2 linked regions of the Bombyx mori genome follow. The main gene of each other region encodes a partner of the protein of the gene in region 2 in a complex. Links are inferred from orthologs where the notes say so. Each region holds a gene or a part of one and is shown on either strand. Other genes may lie near its edges. The genes, in order: DNA-directed RNA polymerase II subunit Rpb4 and general transcription factor IIE subunit 2.

Evidence for each region.
Region 1: general transcription factor IIE subunit 2 (region 2) and DNA-directed RNA polymerase II subunit Rpb4 share a complex: the UniProt entries of both Homo sapiens proteins name them as parts of the TBP-based Pol II pre-initiation complex. The link is inferred for Bombyx mori from reciprocal best matches to the Homo sapiens genes GTF2E2 and POLR2D.

What each region holds. Positions count from the first base shown.
Region 1 is NC_085114.1:9,607,382-9,611,714, reverse strand, and holds the start of DNA-directed RNA polymerase II subunit Rpb4, read right to left. Parts: upstream 2,973-4,333; 5' UTR 2,863-2,972; exon of another isoform or gene 2,854-2,862; intron 2,056-2,853; 5' UTR 1,689-2,055; intron 1-1,688. Other genes in the region: uncharacterized protein LOC119628842, read left to right, coding at 3,309-3,357, 3,550-3,789, 3,967-4,125. UniProt on the Homo sapiens protein: Core component of RNA polymerase II (Pol II), a DNA-dependent RNA polymerase which synthesizes mRNA precursors and many functional non-coding RNAs using the four ribonucleoside triphosphates as substrates.
Region 2 is NC_085118.1:15,267,079-15,271,358, reverse strand, and holds the start of general transcription factor IIE subunit 2, read right to left. Parts: upstream 3,113-4,280; 5' UTR 2,969-3,112; coding exon 2,907-2,968; exon of another isoform or gene 2,903-2,906; intron 2,175-2,902; coding exon 2,070-2,174; intron 1,246-2,069; coding exon 1,083-1,245; intron 626-1,082; coding exon 516-625; intron 89-515; coding exon 1-88. UniProt on the Homo sapiens protein: Recruits TFIIH to the initiation complex and stimulates the RNA polymerase II C-terminal domain kinase and DNA-dependent ATPase activities of TFIIH. Both TFIIH and TFIIE are required for promoter clearance by RNA polymerase.

The sequences.
Region 1 (4,333 bases), on a different chromosome or scaffold from region 2:
CACGGATTTGTGGAGCTTAATCAAGGCGCATACTTGCAAACCCGTGCGCGATTGGAGGACGCGTACCCTGAATTGAACACGTGTTTAGAAGGGCAGTTGGCGTTGCAAACCCGTGCGCGATTTGAGGACACGTGCCTTGAATTGAACACGATTTTGTAAAGGAAGCTAGCGCGACAAACCCGTGCGTGTTTCAAGGCAGTACTGCCTCCTAATGAACACGGAAATGGAAATACGCTACCCGGTCGAGGGGGGTAACGGACCGGGTTATGTCGGACTCCGGCGCCTCCTGGCCTGGCCTCCTGAGAGGAAGAAGGGGAGAAGAGAAGGGCCGAGGTCCTTCACCTGCCCCAATTTCTCATAGGAGACTACGCCTTGAAAAAGGCGCGCGAAGCACTTACCCCGCAGAACGACTACCGACTAAACCCCATCGAGCTCCACCACACCGACTACACGAAACTTACGGTACCGCGATGCGCGCCGAAAGTCTCGCCTTAGGCGGTACCCGTACTAATGTTAAGACGGGATTTCATCCCCGGGAAAATCCCGTAGTCGTCGTGGCCTAACGGATAAGACGTCCGGTGCATTCGTGTTGAGCGATGCATCGGTGTTCGAATCCCGCAGGCGGGTACCAATTTTTCTAATGAAATACGTACTCAACAAATGTTCACGATTGATTTCCACGGTGAAGGAATAACATCGTGTAATAAAAATGAAACCCGCAAAATTATAATTTGCGTAATTACTGGTGGTAGGACCTCTTGTGAGTCCGCACGGGTAGGTACCACCACCCTGCCTATTTCTGCCGTGAAGCAGTAATGCGTTTCGGTTTGAAGGGTGGGGCAGCCGTTGTAACTATAATTGAGACCTTAGAACTTATATCTCAAGATGGGTGGCGCATTTACGTTGTAGATGTCTATGGGCTCCAGTAACCACTTAACACCAGGTGGGCTGTGAGCTCGTCCACTCATCTAAAAAATCTGTCTCTGTAATAAATTAACTTTTTAAACAAGATTTAAATATAAAACAGTAAAATTGCTCGTGTTTTGGATATAAAACTGCAAAAATATTCGTAAAATATCGAAAACCGAATCAGAGCACATCACTTTCCACCTGGTCTTGTCTGCCCTACCCCTAGAGTGTATATAAAAAACCGGAGGCGCGGAGGGAGAGCAGTCCTCGCCAATATTAGTTAGTATTTAAAGTATTAAGTACATTTTGGCAAAACTAGCTTCACATATCATTAATATTAATAAATTCAGTTGTCAGTCCTAAGCCTGAGAAAGCATGAAGGATTGTTTTCATTTAAAAAAATGTATTAAAACCATTTCATATGTTATAACTGTTCCTATAAGTGGACATATTCTATTTAAAACATTATTAAACCTGTTGCAAAACAAAACGCTGTTATATTGGAACAGGCTACTGGAACTGTTCTTTCGCTGGAACAGGAACAGGTGGAACAGGTCTCTAATTTCACCTGTTACAGACCATCCCTAGTTTGGACAGGCAAAGGGAGATTAGTCGATTTAGCAAAGGATTCTGTAATGGGAACTATCACGGAAAAAAGATTGCTCCAAAATCGCGAACAGTAGTTGGCTTATGTAAATTTTAACACCACGTTGCATGATTGAAAAATAATACCCACTAGATAAATTTTCCATTCTTACTTCTCAAATGAAAATAATTACCTGTGTCGAAACTATTCCAGCCTTCACACTTACACAATTATCACCTGATCAACTTTGACTACCGTGGCCCCGGCACATCTTACGTTCTTCGATAGTCTACCTACCTACTACTTCGATAGTATACTTAAGTGTCAATAAATTCCCACTATTTTACTGGAACATCTTTAATTTATTTCATCTTAACACGTTTCATTCCATTTAGTTTCATTAAATTTCATCCAGAGCATCCATTAGTCACGTCCACTGAACTCTCAGTTAATAATCCTTGTTTTACTGAGACGATTTTATTTCATCCCATTGAGGGAGTCCGTATAAAGTCCCTTCTTTATTTCGCGGGAAAATCGTGTTTTATGTAATTAACACCACACTTGAAACAATAGGAGTTTTATTGTTGCAGCGGCTTATACAGTTCTAAGTTATACCATTTTTTTTTTTCGTCCTTTAAATATTCAGCGGTAAAAAAAATTTTTTTGGGTATTTTATGTCCAGCTCAACTAAGACCTTTAGGTCATGTCTTATTTTAATTCATATTCTTAATTTTATGAAAAATTATATAATGGAAAGAAGTGAAATGCAATGAAGATGATTAATTTGAGACAATAATCAAGTAAGATGAAATTAAATATAGTGAGATGAGATGATATGGGATGAAATATAATCTCAGTAAAATGGTGGTCATTTAATGAAAGGACATGGGCCATTTTCGGCCCAGCTACTCGTGCCCTCAAGGACATTAATAAAATATCTATAGAAAAAAACATTTCATTTTTACATACTTATTATAAAATTTAAGGGTATTTTAATGGTGGGATAATCAAAAGCATAAATAAAAAGAAATACTTAAGCATGATTAAGCTACATTGATAATATTGAAGGAGCTGCCATGGGTAAAATATATTTATATTTTAAATAATTCATATTAAATCTTCTTAAAGAAAACAATGTATTACAAAAAACTAGCAAAATATATTAACATATTTAATCGATAAATATAAATAATAGATAAGCTGATGATGATGTTCGTTTAGTGGGGCGTGCAATGTATGGTCCATGTCCTTTTTTCAGTGGACTTTTTGGAGGATTCCGGGGAAGTTATGTTCAGCGGCTTTGTTGCATTTTCCCACATTTGTGAACTTTCACAGATATTAAACAGTTAATAAATCACCGTTATTACACATTTAAACCTGAAGAAATACTAAATCGACAAAATAAAACAAATCACACAACTTCACTCCTCGCGTTCCCGCCAAAAAGTCCCGGACTCCCGGCGGTAAAAAGGTCCCGTGTCACAGACTATCTTCTTTTTCCCACCTCTTGTGCGATCCGGCTTACGCATCATAAAACATCCTAGTTTCATATAATGTCACTCAAATTTAAAGACTAACATTAGTTAAGTTCATCTCATTTAGCTTCATATGAATTCTGATTTATCAGATTAGAATTTCTACGTGCTCTTTACGTAGAAATTATATTATAGCTGGACTAGAAGGTCTTGTAACCGCTGGCTGTAAGCCAATTGCAATATTGAAAAATTAAGAAGAACAAAAACACTTCAATTTTATTATCTACTTAGAGACTCGGCTAAAGATATTTATTTCAAATTTAAGTAATAAGTTCGTAATGTCCAAAACTCCAATAAAAGAATTGGCTATCAACTTTGTACCTAGAGGTAATTATTTACATAGAGTTTGATTTATAAACTATTATGGTTACGTTGCTGGGTATCAATATCACTTATTATCAAGTGGGCTGTGAGTTTGTCTGCCCATCATCGATTAAGAAGAAAAAGTTTAACAAACAAAATTTCTGTTGTCCATGTCGATTGAAATAGTAAGTAATTTAATAAATGATATTATTTCAGAGATTACAACTCCAAATAAAGACCAACCAGGCTTATCAAAGACTGTATTTTCACATGTGTCTTCGTTTCATAGTTTGTTAATTGATTGGGTCAAACTAAAAGATAAAGGTTCTAAGTTTTGTAAAGGGATCTCATCAGTGAAACTGCACGAGTATAATGATGATTATTATCCGCACCTATTGAAGCCATTGACTGAGGGCTTAGTTGAAATTATAGATAGCTTTCAAAATATTATCGAGGGTAAGTAAAATGATGTATGTTAGTCTAACAATCAACTACAATATTGGAGTATGTGAGACTACTTTTAATAATGTTACAGTTTAAACAATTTAATGGAATGGAATATACATTAACTTTCTAATCAATCTAATTCTAATGCAAAACTGAACTATGTCATATTTAAATGTTTCATTTCAGGTATAAAAATACTAAAAAATCAACTGGATTCACTATCAAAATTGCAGTCGACTGACCAGCCAGTAATTTTGACATGGTCAGTAGGCCGAATTCATGCTTGTGTTAAAAATACATATGAATCACTCTTAAAGGAGTACAAACTAAAAAAAATTGTGACAGGTGAAAATTATTATTATTTATTGAAACATACTGGTGGTAAGACCTCTTGTGAATCCGCACGGGTAGGTACCACCACCCTGCCTATTTTAGACGTGAAGTAGTAATGCATTTCAGTTTGAAGGGTGGGGAACCTGTTTTAATTATACTTGAGGCATTAGAACTTATATCTCGAGGTGGGTGGCGCATTTACGCTGTAGATGTCTATGGG
Region 2 (4,280 bases):
CAGTGCTCTCTCGCAGTGAGGCAGCGACTCTTGAACATCTTCCAATAATATACCTCCCAAGCCTTTGAGGTCTTGTTGCTTAAGTAACCTATAAAATTAAATTATTGTTGATACTGGTCATCGATATTAGAGAGGTTGGTCCTGATGAGTTTGTAAATTTTTAAGTTGATTGGACATTTTGAAGTCGGGGGCAAAATGACTTTCATAGATTCTATTTATTACATATAAACAAACATACACAACACGCTTAAAATAAAAGTGTATAAGAGTAAGACAATTTTTTTTTTATTGCCTTTGTGGGCAGACGGGCATACGGCCCACCTGATGGTGAGTAGTTACCGTCGCCCATGGACTTCAGCAATGCCAGGGGCAGAGCCAAACCGCTGCCTACAATAAATGAAATGCAAATTGAACAAGTACTTTTTATTTATATGATTTTTGTCAGGTGATGATCTTTAAATCGTTTTCTAGTTACTACATTTGAATTATGTAAATAATGAAAATATTATACGTACCTCAGTAAAGATTTTTTATCTTTTATTTTATAAACCGGTTTGAAGTTAAACTTTCCATCCGGAGAGCATTCGATTTTAGGATTGCTCTGTAGGGCTTCTGTTTGTAGCCACTTGAAAATGTTTACAGCAGGTTATAAAAGAGAAATCAATTAAAATAGAATATTATTTATAAAAAGCATTTTAATCAATTTGGGTGTTGTGGTACTTGTGTGCTGGGGTATAATAATACTGTAATTAATGCCATCATTTTCCTAAAGTAATTACTCATGATTATTTTTATACATTATGTAGATACAGTTAGTGTTAATAGGGTGTCTTGTGAGCATGCAGGGGTAGATATAACCACACTGCCTATTTCTTTACTGAAGCATAAGCAATATAAAAGTGAGATTTAGAACTCATGTCTATATACTCCAGTAACTGCTTAACACCAGGTGGTTCGTGAGCACATTAGACTTAGTAATAAAATAAAAATTGCATTTATCATCAGCTATAAGAAAATGTGTGTGTTGTTGTAATTATTATTGAGGTAATTTATTTATTATTTCAATACTTATTAAAAGATACCTGTTTTATTTTATTTCCGACATCCAATTGATTTGTCTCATCTAAAATCTCATCTAAAGACAGTGGATGGTCATCTCCATCTTGATGCCTTGCTCTCATATGCCGTACAATACGCGCTAGCACACCAAAGCGATAGGACGAGCTGCCAGTCATAGTCTTGTAACTGAAAAGGATGATGATCAATCACAGATTTAACCAATAATTATAATATAACAAAAAATAATATTATTAGTGTTTGCTTATTGATCTAAATTCGACCATAATCATTGACACCTCAAGGTTTAGATTCAATTTAGTATTAAATTTTCCCTTTTGTTTCGTTACTTAGTGATATAAAAAAAAATCTAGAACTGTTTTCTGATAACACAAAAGCTCTTTAATAGCTACTAAATTAAATAAAAGGGAGAGTTGTCAAACAGAGAAAGAACTGGTATCTATATGCTCTATCTCAATATTTTATCCATTGTAGCACTAAATATGATCAATTCTTTTTTATATATTTTATAAGATTTTAGCAAATACACTAAATGATAAATTATTTTTTTAACAATAAAAAGCTCGCTACATATAGCCTGTATCAAGGCTATCATAATATAAATTTTCGAATTCCAAATAAATCCTGTGTTTTTTATTTTTCATAATTTTTTTTCCAAAGGCTTTTTCTAATTTTTTTTATTCAAAAGTTGATATTGCTATAAAAAGTTTATTAGTATTATTTAATAGAATTGGCGATTAAAATTACCTATAAAGCATAATAAATTATGGGAAGCAATGGTACTGATGTCATGAATAGATATTGCTGATATAGTAATTTGACCTAGTCAAAAGATAAAACTAAATGTGATTTCTAGTTTATTAATGAAAATAGCATTAGTAAATGATGCACATATTTGTTTATGCGGAACACAGTAACTATGTAAATTCAATAGTTATTTTGATAACAGAATATTTTAAATTATTAATTATGTTGCCCTAGCCTTTACTTACTTACTAGCATCAAGCTTTGGTCCGGAGCTGACTGAGCTGGATGATTTCGATTTCTTTTTGCTGTCATCTTTGAATTCAGAGTCATCCCTTTTCTTTTTTTCAATGCTGAAGAGAAAAGAATAATACTTTATTAATTTTGTTTCGTTCTAATTTGACAGTAACCTTTCGATGGGTTGAACTATAGCTCATGTAAAGTGTACTTTTATCAAGTGTGACTATGCTGGTATTCAAATACCATAGACCTGTATAATTTTTTCCACGGCAAAACATTTCTAACACGTTTTCATAAATGGATTATAAGATGAAGTAGCATTTTAGATAAAAATCATGTTTCAAAACAATTGGTGACATTCACATTATATCTAGGGGCTCAGGTAATCACTTAACATAATGTGGGCTGTCAGCTTGATCAGATTCTTTGAAAAAATTCATTACTTTAAATTAAATGAAACATTTTCCATTGTATTCTAATTTACCTAGGGCATGCCAGTCAATATAATCTTTAAAAAAATAGGGCCTGTGCCTTGATCATATTTATCTAGAATATTGGCTGCTATTAAATTAGGAAAGATATTATATCTTATTAACATTTAAATCTTCTACTTTTCTCTGCACAAGTGATTTGTTCACATTTCTACTCATTTAGTATTTCGAAACACATATTTCCATTCATAACTTTATATAATGACTCAGTAATGAATATTGCCACAAGGAAGTGAATTGATAGTAATTGTATGGGCTACGTGAGTGACAGAGAAAGTGTGCGATGGATGCCAGTATGTCTCCAATCATTGTTGTGGACTAGCGAATAGTTTAGTTAAAAATAATGTAACAGACCTCGGGGTCGCAAGTGCCTTCTTTTTAAACGCTTCCCGTTCCCGTAAGAGCGCCGGGTCCATATTTTCGTCTTTTAAACACAATCACTAAAAGTACGTATCAATTGTATTAGTATTTTGTTTAATTGCTGTTGTAATGTAGTCTATTTTCCACTTCCAAATCCTGTTTCTTTAAAATCCGGTTTGAGCAATTTGACATGTGACATATGACCATCTTTGACAAATGACGTGAGGGAGTTCATATAGAGTCCCTTCTTTATTTCGCCTGGTTGTGTTTTATGTAATTAACACCACAGTTGGAACAATATAAATTTTATTGTTGTAGCGGCATAAAGTAATTACATTAAATTGGTTATTATCACATTATAAATTATTTTTGTTTTTCATATTTTGGCGGTAAAAAGGTATTGTCACAGACTATATTCTTTTTCCCACATCTCGTGCGTTCCGGCTTACGCATAATAAAACGCCACACCACCCCCCTACGGAGAAGGAGAATCCGCAGAAAAAGAGAAAAAAATATCATAGGTCGAAAGGTTTGGAGAAGTGGACTCTGCGACCTGATCGGGTGGTATATTGAGGTGTATGCGTAGGAGTAGCAGTTAGAGGTGCCGAAGGCACGAGTGGACATGAAGGGACATTAGTAGCATCCGGTTGCGCTGGTTGAGGCACAGAAACCCGCGGTGCTGGTGCTGGAACGAGATCTACTAAAGAATGCTCGACGAAAGCTGGCTTAATTCTGTCGACACTGACCGTCACCTGTTTCCCTTTTACATCAATCGACCACGTTTTTCCGTCCTCGGCTCTAGATATAACTCTATGAGGACCAGAGTAAGGTGGTTGCATTGAACGTCTAACCGAATCCTCCCTGAGCATTACATGAGAGGCGGTGGAAAGATTTTTAAATATGAAAGGTGATGGTTTAGTGTGTGAGGAACATGGAGTGGGACGCAATTTAGACATACGCTGTCTTAACTTTACGACAAAATCCGTCGGGTCCTCGAAGCCAGAAGGACCGGGAGGTACTAACAGTTCCCCTGGAAGCGTTAATGTTTCTCCGTAAAGCAATTCCGCTACTGTTGCTTGTAGATCTTCTTTAAAAGCCGAACGCATTCCTAATAAGACCAAAGGTAATGCATTCAACCACGAATCATCATAACACATCAGAGAGGCCTTTAATTGTCTATGCATGCGCTCCACGAGCCCATTGGCACAAGGGTGGTAACTAGTAGTGCGTATACGTTTAGTACCACATAAATTAGTAAGGCGTCTGAAAAGGTCCGACTCGAACTGTCGTCCCTGGTCGGTAGTGATGACAGCAGGTACTCCGAATCGAGCAATCCAACCGGCTACAAAGGTGCTCGCCACTTCTTCT